3 linked regions of the Caenorhabditis elegans genome follow. The protein of the gene in region 3 interacts with the protein of the main gene of each other region in a pairwise test. Each region holds a gene or a part of one and is shown on either strand. Other genes may lie near its edges. The genes, in order: lgg-1, lgg-2 and atg-4.1.

Region 1 (3,368 bases), on a different chromosome or scaffold from region 3:
GTATTTGTTTTTAATTTTTCATGATCTCCTACAATTTTCCAAAAATGTATCGGTTTTTCCTTTAAAAATGTGGAATTTTAAGTGAAACTATTACAACAGATACAGGTGAAAATTGCGAAACACTTTTGGGTGCGGTAGCTGAAAAGTTTCCATCGTGCCGAGACCGGCTACCGTATTTTCGCATTGAAAATCTCAAACTTCTGCAAATGGGTAGTACCAAAATTGTGTCTCGAAAATGATAAAATATGCCAGAATCGAATCAAAAATGATTCCTAAGTCAACGTTTGAGCCCTCTTATGACATTTTCAGACGATGACAACTAGAATAAACTGTCATTTGACAGATGACTAATGGATACAAAGAGCCTTTTTGCCAAAAGTGTGTCACCATTTTCGAAATAAAATTCTCATTTTTCTCTATACTTTGTTCAGAAATCTACAATGATGTTTACGTAATACAAATGTGACGTCAATTCTATACAGATGAAAAAGTGATTTCGCAATGTGTATTGCTAACTGTTGGAGGTATTCCATTCGCTGGCCGAAAATAACGATGAGCATGAACATGAATTTGTTTGTGTCTTCTTCGTTTATTCATGAATCAAAAATTTGAAAGTAATAGCAAAAAAATATCAAAATCCGAGAGAAAACATGATTTTCTGGGAGGGGAGAAGAGCAACTTCGTAGACAATAGTTTGAATAGAAGTCACTACTCGGAACCGTCATACGAGAAAAATGAGAAGAAAATGTGAAGGAAATACAGAATTATTACAGAAAATGAGAAGATTTTTTTAAAGGGGCTTTGGGTTTCCATTAGAAGTATGAAATTTCCATTGTACAAGTATACACATTCGTCGGCGGATAATACATGACACTTTATTCCTTCTTTTCGACCTCTCCTCCATACACACTTTCGTCACTGTAGGCGATGTAAAGGAACAAGTCTTCCTCGTGATGGTCCTGTAATAAAGAAAAGGGTTAATTAAATGAAAATAAACGACTGGTTAGTTACCTGGTAGAGTTGTCCCATTGTGGTCATGGTTTGTGGAATGACATTGTTGACAAAGAAGAACAGAGCATCTTCTGGACGAAGTTGGATGCGTTTTCTGATGAGGAAGTAGAACTGTCCAACAGTAAGATCGGATGGGACCAAGTACTTCTTCTTATCCAAGTCATGGAGCTTTGACTTTGGTGCTTTCTCAACAATCACTGGAATACGGTCTGGGTACTTTCTGCGGATCTTGTCTCCTTCGGCACGACGCTTCTCAAAGTTGTTCTCCTCCTTGTAAGCCCACTTCATTTTGATTCGAAGGTTAGTGTGAAGAGAAGGTTACTGGAATAAAAATACTTTAAATCACAGAAAAATCATAAAAGAACCATGAGAGAAGAAAGGTGTAACAAGTGAGAGTGAATGAAGGTGACATCACATGGGTTTTGAGAGATTGACCGATTCGATAACACATTGCGAAATCTATATAAAATTGACGACGAGTACTAGTAAGGCAAAAAGAGCATGAGCAAGAATGGCCCGTGTGCAAGTGAGAGAGGGAGTGTGCGCGCACATCGGTCATATGAGAGCGCGTAGACGCAGGAGACATCCTATTGATTTTCTATGTTTGTCTGGCCTGGTTTTGTTGAGATGCAGAGAAACAGGACAAGTACAATGCAGCTGTTTAGAGGTTGTCGGGGAAACTGTAATTCTGGGAAGACTGAAAGTCGATCGATATATTAGTAACATTTATCCAATATTCACTAGTATCCATAACCAGTTTCTACGAATATTCTTAGCGCATTGTTCCAAAAAATTGAATTCTGAAAGACTTTAGTAATCAACTATTAACTAGATTAATATGACCGTTCAATAAATAATTTTGGTATGATTTAGCAATATTTTTAGATAGAATTGTTAAACCGTACATTTAATAGTCAAACTTGTGAAACATTTCTTAATTTCAAATTTCAAATCTAAAAAAGATTTTGATTTGAAACCGGTTTTTTAAACAAACCAACTAAAATTACAAACTTTTAAATAAAAAAGTACTGTCGCTACCGACGTCGCCAGAAAGTGAAAGAAATGGCAGAAAGTCGCAAAGAAGAGCGAGAGGCAAGACTGAACACACCAAGACGAATGGCACTAGCTAGAAAGAGAGAGAGATGAGAGAGGGGCGGAGACGACGAGACACCACGACTCAACATCATGTGACTGTGTCATACGGCGGCGAAACGAGACAGCAGGCAGAGGAGAGCAAGAGAGTATAGGGAAACATTGGATGGTTTGAGAGAAGTAGAGCAGCATGGTGTAGAATCATCGGGGTTTCAGGTGCCGATCGACAGATTGTTTGTTCTTAGATTCTTTTGATAGGAAATTTTAAACGTTAGAAATGATCAAAAGTGATAAAAGGTTAGAATAACAACTAGACAACAGTTGGTATTGAGTATGTTTTGCTATTAAAGGAACATAATATGCTAAAACTAAACGAAATAAACGATATATAACTACTATATCCATACAATAATATGTAGGTGGAAAGTGCATTAGCGACATAATTCTAAAATAAAGAGTTGGAGCAATGAGAGCATCATCCACATTCACAGCTGTCACCGTGACGTAGAATGTAATGAACTAGAAGAGGGCATTCAAGACCAGCTGGTAAAACGCTAGAACTGACAATATAAAACAAATCAATTAAAAGATCTTAAAGACATTAGGGTGCACTCCATGTAATCGATCAGAAAGGCAAAAATATAAAAAGGAACAAGATAAAAATTTGCCGGAAGCAAACCGAGAAAAAATATTAAAAAAATAACCAAACAATAAACCAAAGGTTAAAAATTTATAGACAGTCAATAGTGACGAAATGTTTTACACGGACAGAAGTACAATAATCAGAATAAAGCTATAAATATAAATAAATAAAAAATGATAGCTAACATGGAGAAACAATAAAAATATGAAAAACGCTTTTTTCTTTGAACCGTAAACAACGAAAATCTAAAAATTGCCGAATAAGTTCGCTTGTAGCCCAGGATGGAACATTTGGAAACTTGCTACTACGAAACATCGAAATGTCAGAAAAAATAAAAGTAAAAAAGTTGTAAAAAATTATGATATGCCTAGGAAAAAGTTTGAAAACTCGTCGATATCCGCCTTTTTAATTGATTTAACAGAGATCAAATGTCGATTTACTGTCGCCTTGAAAGTGCACCAGTTCGAGAGAGATCTGTAAAAATTAGTTATGAGACTTGATCTGCAATATGACAAACTTACAACTTGCTAGCTGTAACATATCATCAGGTTTGAACTTCGAAATGTCTGGAGCACTGAAATTGGAATATTACATATCCACGATAAAATCTTTTCAAACCCAC
Region 2 (4,005 bases), on a different chromosome or scaffold from region 3:
AAGTTATTTATAATTGTTGTATTATTTTAGAAAGACGAAGGAAAACGAAAGAAGGAGTCTGTCGTTGATCTCACCAGATTTCTCGACAAAGAGATTCGCGTCAAGTTCCAAGGAGGACGTGAAGGTTGGTTTTTTTTTTGCACAATGATGTGCACTAGCAATAAGATTCCGTCATTAAACTATTTAAACAATATGAAAGCGTCCAACATACACAAGCTGTACTTCACTCCATAAAAATGTATAAATTTCAGCAAGTGGCGTGCTTCGAGGATTCGATCAGTTGCTCAATATGGTTCTTGATGACTGCCGCGAGTATCTCCGTGATCCACAAAATCCTTCGGTCGTCGGTGATGAGACAAGGTAATTGATAGATTTCCAAAAATCGATTTAAAGCTTGGATTTCAAATTAAATCTAGATTTTCGATTTTATCTTATCTTTTATCTTAAGACAACTGGGTCTTATTGTGGCTCGCGGAACAGCAATTACAGTAGTTAGCCCAGCAGATGGACTCGAGCAAATCGCCAATCCATTCGCAACCCAGGAAGAAGAATAATCGTTGATATCATCATCATCTCTTATTATTATTATATATGTATGTGATCTCCTTGTGAATGAACATTCTCCAGATAAAAACGACGAAAAAGTTGTTATTACATACAAAACATTTGATACATTGAATTTGGAAAAGTAACGATGGAACAAGATGTAATAATTTTGAATTGAATCCGTCTAGGCAGTCAGAAAGTCCATAGCGGTAAATTTCAATGTTCAGGGCAGTAAGGAAAATAGTCCCTATGGGCTTTAGAGACTAGCCAAGTACACAGAATCGTAAACGGTTTAAATTTTGTTGAAAGAGGATCAGTTGTGAAAAGAAGACATGAAGAAATTCAAGAAACGGGCTGGAAAATGCGGAGAAAGAGTTATGAGGGAACACATAAAGACTACACGAAAACGTAAGCGAATTTGGGTTTCTTTTTTTTCGTTTGTAAAACAAATTTCAGCTGGAAGTTTTGAGGTGGGGAATTGCGAGGGGCGAAATTAGCAAAGGCAACTAGAAAAATGGTTGGCGCCTGAGTATGATGGGTTTTCAGGTATTTACATTTAAAAATACAACATTTTACAGTGAGGATTGCATTGGGCAATCAGTGGTGTTGGTGGAAATTTAAAAATTGATTAGAATTGTGATGGAAAACGGCTCTTGATGTGTTATCCAAATGCTGGTTGAGACGTGTAAACCATATACACAAAGCCATCTGGATCACGCTCTTGACTGTACAAATTGGACATGCTCATAGAATTTGACACCATTGAGCGTTCATTGACGAGCAGGAAGAATGCTTGTTGTGGATGAAGTTGGAGGCTGAAAAGCAAACGGATGATTTTGAAAAAACAACTCAGTTGAATAGCTCACCGTCGTCTAACAATTGACATGAGCTCGGCAACGGTTATATGCTCGGGTACTAGGAATTTGCAGCGATCCATAAGTGGTAAACTGCGTTCTCCATCAAATCTTTCGATAATTACCGGAACCTTGTTCGGTTGTTGGCTGCGGATTTCTTCCACATCTTTCTGACGCTCATCTGAAATCGAATAGGTTAAAAAGGTTTTCTTTCGAAAATTTGAAAATAAAAAAGTTGTTCCTCAGTTCTGGATTTCTCTTTTCCACTCGTAAAATTCATATTTCTATTTAAAGATTGGCGTACGTTCAGTTTTGGTTGTTATCTTGAATGGTGGGCAATATTTTGAACTCTAGAATATCAATATTGATCCAAATTTTCCTATAATCCTATTTCCCTTGCACCTGCCCTATTGATCTTTGTTTCTCAGGTCCATCTATCTCTTTCTTTCATACAACGAAGAGCACCCAATTAATACGCAATGTTCCATGGGTGCTGCTCCACTGACATAGTCACTCATTCACACAAGATCAGCTGATTTTCACATGTCTCACTTGCATATTGTCTCTTGTTTCCTCATGCTCTCTCGCTGAAACGCATGACGCGGGGTGTCTGTCCTCTGCGTCTCTGACCTTTTACAATGGACGGGTGAAGGAAAAAAAAGTGGGAATGATTGGGAATGAATTGGTTGGGATGAAAACCAGATGTTTGATGTTAAAGTAAAATTAAAGTGAGACTTGAAGCTCTATTTTTATTTTGATGACAATTGTTTGATTAGTAAATGAATTTTAAAAAACTTACGGAATGGCCTTCTTTCCTTGAACGATGGAACGATTCCGGAAATGTAAGATCCTCCCCGATTTCCGCTCATCGCTGTTTGTGTGTAACTTTGAAGCGTGGCTAGCATAAACGCTTCTTCACTTTTTCGTGCTGAGACCCGATTTTCGATCTGCAAACTTGAAAAATGGTAACTGGTATTTGAAAAGTTGAGAAAACTGATTTTAGAAGAGAAATTAGAGTGTGAGATGCTAAAGGACACTGTATGTTTTTGTGAGAATTTTTTTATCAAGAAGCGAAAAGACAGGTGAAAGGGAATGGGACAGAGGGAAAAATCGAGACAGAGGCAGTAGGCAGCACACACGCTCTTTTGCTGTATGTCTCTTTGTCCTCTGTGTCTCTTCATTGATGCTACTCTCTTTTCTCACACCACAAGATCGACTGAGCGTCGAGGACACATGACCGCGAGACGGAGAGACGATGAGAAGAGAAGAATCATGTGATGAAGGAATAGATGGGGAAAAGAAAGAATAGAGTTAGAGAAGATGAGAGTGTGTATTATGACCCTTCTCCCAGCTAATACAGAAGTTCGAAGCAGTGTCAGACAGATGAAATGATAGCGAAATTTGAAACGATGAGTGGCAACGAATTAAATAAATATGACAGCGAGACTTGTTGGCGACACTAAGAAAGTTATAGGAGAAAACGTTTTAATTGAATACTTCCTAGAAAACTTCTCAACTAATGTTCTAGTGTGAAAATGCTTGGTTTTATGAATGAAAATTTCTAATATTAAAATGGGCCGTTTAAATTAACGGAAAACTAAAGATTTTATCTATACCAGCCAACTCTTTTATATCGGTCTACGTAAAAAAAGTGCTTGTACTTTGAAAATAGTGGCAGGGAGAGATAAAGGGCAGGGGAACCAGATGATCTCTAGAACTTCCAGTCTGAATCTACTACTCCCAATCAGAACAACTGACGTTTTTTTCTGCAAACTTTTTTCTCGGAACTTTAGATCTTTGACGCGATTTTCGAAAAAGGGAGAAGTGATGAAATATGATCAAGATTTCACAGCAAAAATTGGCAATCTGCGATATTTTTTTGACATTTTAAGGGTTTCCTTAGATTTTCCGTTGTTGAAAATGCGGGTATCTAAATAATTTCGAAAGAAGTTTTGAGATGAGGACGAAACTATGGAAAGAGCAAAACAATAAGTGATGAGGGGAAAGAAAGAAAAGTGAAAAATCGATGTACGAGTAAACAGACTCTCATGACTAGTGAACTCAATTATGTTTACGTCTCAAAATCGATATGTTACTGCGCACGCCGTGTGCATTTGTCTGCGTCTCGTTTATTTTCTTTTCTTTAATAGCATTTTCCGCGTACGAACTTCAAAGATGAAGAAATTTCTTGTGAAATCGAGTGGAATGTCGATATTTATATGGTTAATATTTAGATAAAAGATTATTCAGTTTTTTAAATTAGGTTTTTCGGATATAACTTGAAAAAAAAGAAGGAAAACATGCCAAAATCGAAAAAAAATGCATTTGGTGTTCAAACCATTAATCAGTACTACCGTAACTCAAAGGCGCATTAACGTTTTTTTACTCTGGTCTCGAAGCGAAAGGTGGAATCATGCTCAAAATTAATTTGCAGATCTTTTTTCTTGTTTTCGCTTCAAATGCATGAATAAGTTCTGGAAAATTTGTTTTTTTGCAGATAGTTTTAAATAATGTGATGTCAGTTCGAAGACGAACTCATTCCGATGATTTCTCCTATCTTTTGGAAAAAACCCGAAGACCTTCCAAATTAAATGGTACATTTTTG
Region 3 (7,631 bases):
GCATTTAGTTTTACAGCTAAAATCGAGCCGCGACGCGACACGCAACGCGCCGTAAATATATCCCAGATATCGCCAAGCCAAAATGGCCTAGTTCGGCCCAAACTCTTCCATTTCAATTTATGAAAGAAGCCAGAAATCCGTGGGTAGAGAAAATTCAAAATTTTATTGCTAAAAAATCGATAAGAAAAGTTAATTTTTCCAAATTTTTCTTCACAAAATCGATAAAAAGCACAATTTATTTCACTTTTTCCACTGAAAAATCGATATAAAATTCAAAAATTATCGAATTTTTCAAAAAAATCCTATTTTCAGATTAATAATGTCTACATCACAAGAGGCATTGATCTACAAAGTGCAGCCGAGTAAAATTTAAATTTTTTATCGAATTTTTTAATATAAAACATTATCTTCACATTCACAATTTTTTAAAAATACATTTGAGAAACCAAAAAAAAACATAATTTTTAATACAATTTTTTACAAAAACCAGCAAAACAAAATCGTCGTGATAAGGTAGGGAAAGTGGGCGGGGCTTAGGCATTTGCCACGTCATCATCATTGTCTTCGTCTGCGTCTTCTTCTTCTGTATGAACATCCAAAACTTCAAAATCATCATCGATTTTCACGTTGGCGGCGCCGATGTCATCGAATTCTGTAAAATAAGTAGATTTTTGGGTGAGGCTCAGAGACTACAAACTACAAAAAATTTGAAAAATTCAAAATTTTCAGAGAAATATTAGGCACAAACATTACGGAAACTACAAACTACAAGAGAAAAAAATTCGAATTTTAGACTAAAAACTACAAAAAAAATTAAATTTAAAAGTTAGGCTACAAACTATAAACTACAATTAAGCTATTTCGCAATTTAAATATCAACTTCCATATCGGGACTTCAAACTACAAACTACAAATCGAGAATTTTTGAAGTCTAGATTTCAAACTAAACTTGACTACAAACTATAAACTACACTTCTCATTATTTATTTAAAATCTAAGGTTGATTATTTATTAACAACAAACTAAAAACTACAAACTACAAACTATAAACTACACAAACCGACATATTCCAAATACTCACACATGCTATATATTTTCGAAATTCAATGCTAATAAATAAATACACTATAGGCTATAAACTACAGACTACAAACTACAAGCTCTAAAATAGAAGCTATAAACTACAAAGACTACAGACTACAAAAACTACAAACTACAAACTATAAACTACACAAGCCGACATTTTCCAAATACTCACATGCTATATATATATATATATATATTTTTGTAATTTAATACTAATAAATAAATACACTACAAGCTTTAAACTAGAAACTACAAAGACTACAAAAACTACAAACTACACACCCTTCATCTCAATCTTCATCGAAACGCCAGTGTATGGTTCGAATTTTGGCAAATACTTGGGCCGCCGCTGCAAAAACTCGAACATGGGCGGTTGGGAGGCAGGCAATGTGGTTTTTTGAAGGGTCTCGCACAGATTTTCAAACTCGTCACGTGTCTCACAAAACATTGCCAACGCGAGTGAAGGATCCACATTCTCATACTCAATCCATAACATCATTTGACAATGATACGTGGAATCATCCATTTTCGTGTAAACGTCTGCGGTTTGAGATGGTAATGGAACAAGTTCTTCCAAATGACTGAAGCCTACGTCATCGGTGGTGGCCGTGGAATCTTTTTCTGCATACATTTTGGCCGTCGATTCAGTTTTTGGCCGGCAATAGTGAGGATCCAGATAGAAAAGTTTCGAACCAGACATTCCAACAAAGTATAGAGCATGATTTGGTCGACCACCGATAATTCCGACGCATTGTGGGATTTTAAAGAATTCTTGAATTGCTGATAAATAGCATGGATTGATCGTGGTGAGACCCAAACGTAGGGGAATCATTAGGAGAAGGGGACGCCATTCGGGGATTATATTGCCTGGGGAGAGGGAGAGACGGTTTTTGTCGACGAGGCCGTTTTCTGAAAAAAAGAGTTAATGGTTAATGGTAAATTCGAAAAAAAAAATTTTTTTGGAAAAAATGGCGAAAAACTAAACAAGAAGTATTTTTGAAAACATTAAAAAAAATTACATCCCCATAAAATTTTTTTGATGATGTTTCGATTTTCCATTTTTTTTTAACAAAAAACCACATGTCTGACGTTTTTTAAAAAAAATCAGACGTTTTTTGAAAAAATCTCATATTTTTCCGATTTTCTGATGAAAAAATCGAAAAAATTAGGATTTTACCGTAAAATATCTGAAACAGATTAAAAAATTTAAAAAATTTAATCTGTTTCAGATATTTTACGGTAAAATCCAAATTTTTTCGATTTTTTCTTCTGAAAATCGGAAAAATATGAGATTTTTCCAAAAAACGTCTGATTTTTTTAAAAAACGTCAGACATGTGGTTTTTTGTTAAAAAAAAATGGAAAATCGAAACATCATCAAAAAAATTTTATGGGGATGTAATTTTTTTTTATGTTTTCAAAAATACTTCTTGTTTAGTTTTTTCAGAAAATTATCCAGAAAACCTCCAAAACATGACGTTTTAGATCTATTTGTTGGATTTTTATTTAATACGAGGCGTGAGAAAAATTTTTTTTTAAAAATAAACCTAGCATTTTCGACTTTCGAGAGTTACTAGGCCCTTTTTTTAATTTTTATTTTTTGGAAAAAATGGCGAATTTTTCAACTGTTTCAGATATTTTGCTGCAAAATCCAATTTGTTTCGATTTTTTCACCTAAAAATTCGAAAAATACAGGCATTTTCAAAAAACGTCTGATTTTTTACCGAAAATCGAAAAATTAAATTTTTTCGAGAAATACAATCATTTTAGTTGGTTTTTTGTGGACGAGGCTATTTTCTGAAAGATTAGGGAAGTTTTGACTGATTTTTCAGCAAAAATTATGCTTTTTAACCATTTTTTAGGGAAAAACTAAAAAATCATCAAAAAATTTTATGGGGATGTAATTTTTTTAGCGTTGTAATAAATACTTCTTGTTTAGTTTTTTCCAGAAAACCTCGAAAATATGATGTTTTAGGTTTATTTTTTGGATTTTCTTCATGACGAGGCGTAAAATTATTATTTTTAAAATAAACGTTACTAAAAATCGAAAAAAAAACTCTGAAAATCATCCAGAAATTGAAAAAAAAAATTTTAATTTTTTCTCTTGTCCCCTAACAATAAATACCAGATTTTGAGAGGAATTTTTAAAAAATTAAAGAAAATTTTTTGGAGACATTTTTTCAGCTTTTTGTTTTTTTTTCAAAAATTATTTTCAGATGAATCTAAAATATTTTCAAAGTATTTTTTGGTTTATTCAAAAATAAACCATTGAAAAAAAGGCCCTTTTCCGATAAAATCTAATTTTTTTAAAGAAATTTTCGATTTTATACGGTTTTTCGGGATTTTTTTTTTAGAGAAATGCGTATATTTTTAGATTTTTCGGTTTTTTAAAAAAGAAAATCGAAAAAGGAAATTTTTTAGCGATATTTGGCATTATTTTAATCCAAAAATTTGAATTTAATTTTTTAAAGAAATTTTTTGGTTTTTTTTCTAAGAAAACAAAACAAAAATGTCAGCTAAAATTTCTGATAATTTTTAGATTTTTTTTTTGCATTAAAATTTATATTTTCCTTGATTTTCCGCACACATTTTCTATAATTTTAAAAAAGTTGTAGCACTTTGTAGTTTGTAGTCCCTTCTTACCCATAATAAGTTTAACAGCATCTTCACTTGGATATGATGTTGCCATTGTAATAGCATCCTCTTTCACAAGAATATTATCAAGTGCCACGTGGACGGCGATATTCGACCAATCATCGAAAATTGTGAGCTTCTTCATTACTTGAGCCGCCGTATTTGGTCCAAACCATTTTGAGACTTCTTTTCCTTCAGTAACACCCATTTGAGCTGGAAATTGTGTAGTTTGTAGTGGAAGAAAATGATAAAATTTATTATTGAAAATTTTTTTACTCCTATAATTGAAAATTTGATCAAAAATTCGCAAAATTTGATGGAAAATTCGTCGAGTGAGGCTAAAAAGTTGTAGTTTGTAGTCTCAGCCTCAACCAATGCAGTAGGTTGAGGCTAAGCTATATATATATATATATATATATATATATATATATATATATATATATATATATATTCGATTTTTTAACTAAAATTTTACTCTAACAATTGAAATGTTGATCAAAAATTTGCAAAATTTAATTAAAAATTCAAAAAATGTGATGAAAAATGCATTGGGTGAGGCTAAAAAGTTGTAGTTTGTAGTCTTAGCCTCAACCGATTCATTTGGTAGAGGCTAAACCAATTTTGTAGTCTGTAGTGGACGAAAATACAAAATTAATGCAGTTTTCAAACATTTTTGCTTTTTTAAATTCAAATTTTACTCTAATAATTGAAATTTAGATCAAAAATTCGCAAAATTTGATGGAAAATTCCTCAGAAATCGCAAATTTTATTTGGGTGAGGCTAAAAAGTTGTAGTTTGTAGCCTGTGGCGCCTCAACCAATTTCGATAGGGTTTTTAACGATTTTCTCCTAATTTTTCAGTAATTTTCCGCATACCAATTTGATGAATCGAGTAAAGCGCGTCTTTTTCGTCGAAAAACATTTGTAAAATCTTTTCATAAATCTCTGAAGTCTTCTCAATATCCCATTCAAAATGGCGTCCAATGTGACGGCGAAGGAGTACTTCTCCGAGAAGCATCTGCAATTTTCGGGCGATTTTTTTCGAAGAAAAATGTAATTTTTAATCCAACCTGTGCGCATCTCAGCATGCAACCCCATCCTTGATCCGTGCTAGGGCCTGTGCCACCTGGAAATTTGAATTTTTCAGTGCAAATATTAATTTTTAGTGTTTTTTCAACCCCAATTTTTCCTTTTCCCACATAAAAATAGACTGAAAACCAAAAAAAACCTAATTTTCGACCGAAAATCCATTAAAATATAGACTTTTGCCCTTGGTTGAGGCTCAGCTCGGTTTGTAGTTTGTAGTCTCTGAGCCTCACCATTTTCCGTGAATTTTATGGCAAAAAATTACTAATTTTTTGATATATTTAAAAGTTACGGGTTTTTTTTTTCAGAAAAAGACACCGAAATATCAGGAAAATTAACACAAAATCAGAAATTTGAGAAAAATTCATTAAAATATGCGTTTTTTGCCACGTGGATTTTTTGGTTGAGGCTCAAACAAGTTTGTAGTTTGTAGTCTCTGAGCCTCACCATTTTCCCTGAATTTTATGACGAGAATGACTAATTTTTTGATATATTTAAAAGTTACGGGTTTTTTTTTCAGAAAAAGACACCGAAATATCAGGAAAATTAACAAAAAATCAGAAATTTGAGAAAAATTCACTAAAATATGCGTTTTTTGCCACGATTTTTGCCAATTTCTTGTTTTTTTATCGATAAACCTACCAATTGGGGAGAAATCTCTGCGATAAGTGAACCAAAATCTCGATGTGACGTACTTTTTCATTGCCTCGATTCCTAAAATTCAATAACTCTAAGAAATTTCAAATTTCCCGCTTAAAAACCAACCATCTTCCTTTGAAATCTCCTTTCCGAGCGCAAAAATCGGGAAATTATCGATAGAAATTCGCTCAAAAGATTCACAAAAAGGCGGCTCAAATGTCAATGAGGTTTCCACAATTCCGACGCCTTGTTTCAGAATTTCTTCGGTCATTTTGTCGACGACGGGAAGCTGCTCGAAATATTGCAAAATTCGGCTGAAATTGCTGTACGCCAACGGTAAAATCGATAACATGTGAGACGAAGAGACGAAGGGGTTGTGTGGCGGATGGAAGAGGTGTTTGCAGACACTGTGAATGGAGGCAGTCAAGATAATATGAAATTATAAGGGGTCAGAGGATTGCTCACGGGAATATCCCCGGTGGGAATGAGCAAGAACAATCAATATTTACTTTTAATCGAATTTTCTCGAAAAATTGTTATTTTTTAACACAAAATTGCGAAATTCTAGTGTAAATTTAGATTTTAAACACAATTTTCGATTAGTTTGGGTAAAAGTAATGTTAAATAGCTTTTTTGTGCAAAATTATCAAAAATGTTTTTAAAAATCAATAAACTGATCCGTGGCAGGACCCGAAATAAATTTCGAGCAATGCGCCTTAAAATGTTACTGTAGCTTTGGTTTTGGTGAATTTTTAATTCTAAACGTTGAAAATTGGCTAAACAATTGATGATAATGAAAATTTTACAAATTTTTCGGTTTAATAATCAGAAAAATCAATTATTTCTTGCTTATCAGTTGACATTTCCACCAGAAAACTGCTGAAATTGCAAAAACCTGCAAGTCGTTCTAAAACCCGCTTACTAATTTTTGCTATGCGCCTTTAAAAGTTACGGTACGTTTTTACGGACATTTTTTATTTAATTTTTTTTTTCAATTTTTGCAATTCATTTTTCAAATAAGTTATTAATTTAAATTATTTATTTTCATTAAAATTTTTTTTACAAAATCGATACAAAGAGATCGGCGATAAGTTTAGGCGGAATTTTTTTAAAGGAAAAACGTCAAATTTATCAATAAAAAGCTTTAGACGATATGAGGACAGGGTGTGTGTTGAGAGAAAAGAAAAATTGGAAAAAATATATAAATAAAGTCTCTGCTTAGAAATTTAATTGGGAAAAAATCACTAAAAATTAAGGAAAAAAAGGAAAAAAAACGAGGGATTATTATGCAAAATCATAAAATTCTATCTATTTCATTTTGTTAGAAGACCTTAAAATCGATAATCAGCAATTTGCACAATAGGAAGAAGCGGCCGATGGGTCTCCGTCCAAGCTGACTCCGCGGCATTCTGAAAAAAAAATTAGTTTTGTAGTGAAAATGTGGTTGAGGCTCACACTACAAACTACAAAACACATTGTAGTTTGTAGTAGAAAATTCGCGTGAAAAAAACAAGAGACTACAAACTACACTTTTCACGTAGCCTCAACCAATCATTTTAACAATTTTTGTAGTTTGGTTGAGGCTTCGCCGAAATTGTAGTTTGTAGTTACTATTATTTTTGGTAATGGCAACGACTATAGAGTACAAATATCTATTGTAGTTTGTAGTTTTTGTAGTCTATACCTGACAACGGAAGAGACGACGTCTCAACAGATTGTTGAATTCTTTGCATAACCAAATCGAGTAGACAATCCACAGATTTCTCCACATTGGTAGATGTGCAGGCGGACGTCTCGAAGTACGGCAGCCTGAAATTACGTGGTGGCCGTGCAGAAAAACAAGAGAAAAAATTCGGCCACGTACCCCAATTGATCAGCCAGCTGCTTTGCACGGGCGGTACTGACTTGACGCCGATTTTCGAGGTCTGCTTTGTTACCGCATATGATAATGTCAGGTTGCTCGCAATAGGCATGTACCTGGAAATTTTAATATTTTTCGGGGTTTTTTGAAAAAAATTGTTTTTTTTTCAGCTTTTTCAGCCAAATTTAAAGTAAAATTTTCAGAAAAATCAATAATTTTTAGATTTTCTGAAAAAAAAATCGCTAATATACCTTCAATTGTGATAGCCAGTCTCGAATATTGAGAAATGATTGCTCATTTGTAATATCGAAGATCAATATAAATCCCA

The links.
Region 1: the proteins of atg-4.1 (region 3) and lgg-1 interact in binary tests that used the Caenorhabditis elegans proteins (3 or more experiments, as listed by UniProt).
Region 2: the proteins of atg-4.1 (region 3) and lgg-2 interact in binary tests that used the Caenorhabditis elegans proteins (3 or more experiments, as listed by UniProt).

What each region holds. Positions count from the first base shown.
Region 1 is NC_003280.10:6,346,388-6,349,755, forward strand, and holds lgg-1 (Protein lgg-1), read right to left. Parts: upstream 1,333-3,368; 5' UTR 1,300-1,332; coding exon 1,012-1,299; intron 960-1,011; coding exon 876-959; 3' UTR 573-875; downstream 1-572. Other genes in the region: putative RING finger protein C32D5.10, read right to left, coding at 3,183-3,220, 3,268-3,320. UniProt on the Caenorhabditis elegans protein: Ubiquitin-like modifier involved in the formation of autophagosomal vacuoles (autophagosomes). When lipidated mediates tethering between adjacent membranes and stimulates membrane fusion during autophagy. Recruits lipidated-lgg-2 to maturing autophagosomes.
Region 2 is NC_003282.8:10,933,557-10,937,561, forward strand, and holds lgg-2 (Protein lgg-2), read right to left. Parts: upstream 2,348-4,005; 5' UTR 2,306-2,347; coding exon 2,200-2,305; intron 1,582-2,199; coding exon 1,413-1,581; intron 1,362-1,412; coding exon 1,208-1,361; 3' UTR 640-1,207; downstream 1-639. Other genes in the region: lsm-7 (U6 snRNA-associated Sm-like protein LSm7), read left to right, coding at 31-124, 252-360, 449-554; Protein adenylyltransferase fic-1, read left to right, coding at 3,916-3,994. UniProt on the Caenorhabditis elegans protein: Ubiquitin-like modifier involved in the formation of autophagosomal vacuoles (autophagosomes). When lipidated mediates tethering between adjacent membranes and stimulates membrane fusion. Less effective at promoting membrane fusion than lgg-1.
Region 3 is NC_003279.8:13,536,602-13,544,232, forward strand, and holds atg-4.1 (Cysteine protease atg-4.1), read right to left. Parts: upstream 5,795-7,631; coding exon 5,569-5,794; intron 5,518-5,568; coding exon 5,446-5,517; intron 4,844-5,445; coding exon 4,788-4,843; intron 4,736-4,787; coding exon 4,594-4,735; intron 4,172-4,593; exon of another isoform or gene 4,112-4,171; intron 3,932-4,111; coding exon 3,728-3,931; intron 1,996-3,727; coding exon 1,369-1,995; intron 653-1,368; coding exon 534-652; downstream 1-533. Other genes in the region: Y87G2A.2 (Acyl-coenzyme A thioesterase 8), read left to right, coding at 313-373; aex-6 (small monomeric GTPase), read right to left, coding at 6,787-6,851, 7,127-7,251, 7,307-7,419, 7,555-7,631. UniProt on the Caenorhabditis elegans protein: Cysteine protease required for autophagy. Cleaves the C-terminal amino acid of ATG8 family proteins lgg-1, to reveal a C-terminal glycine.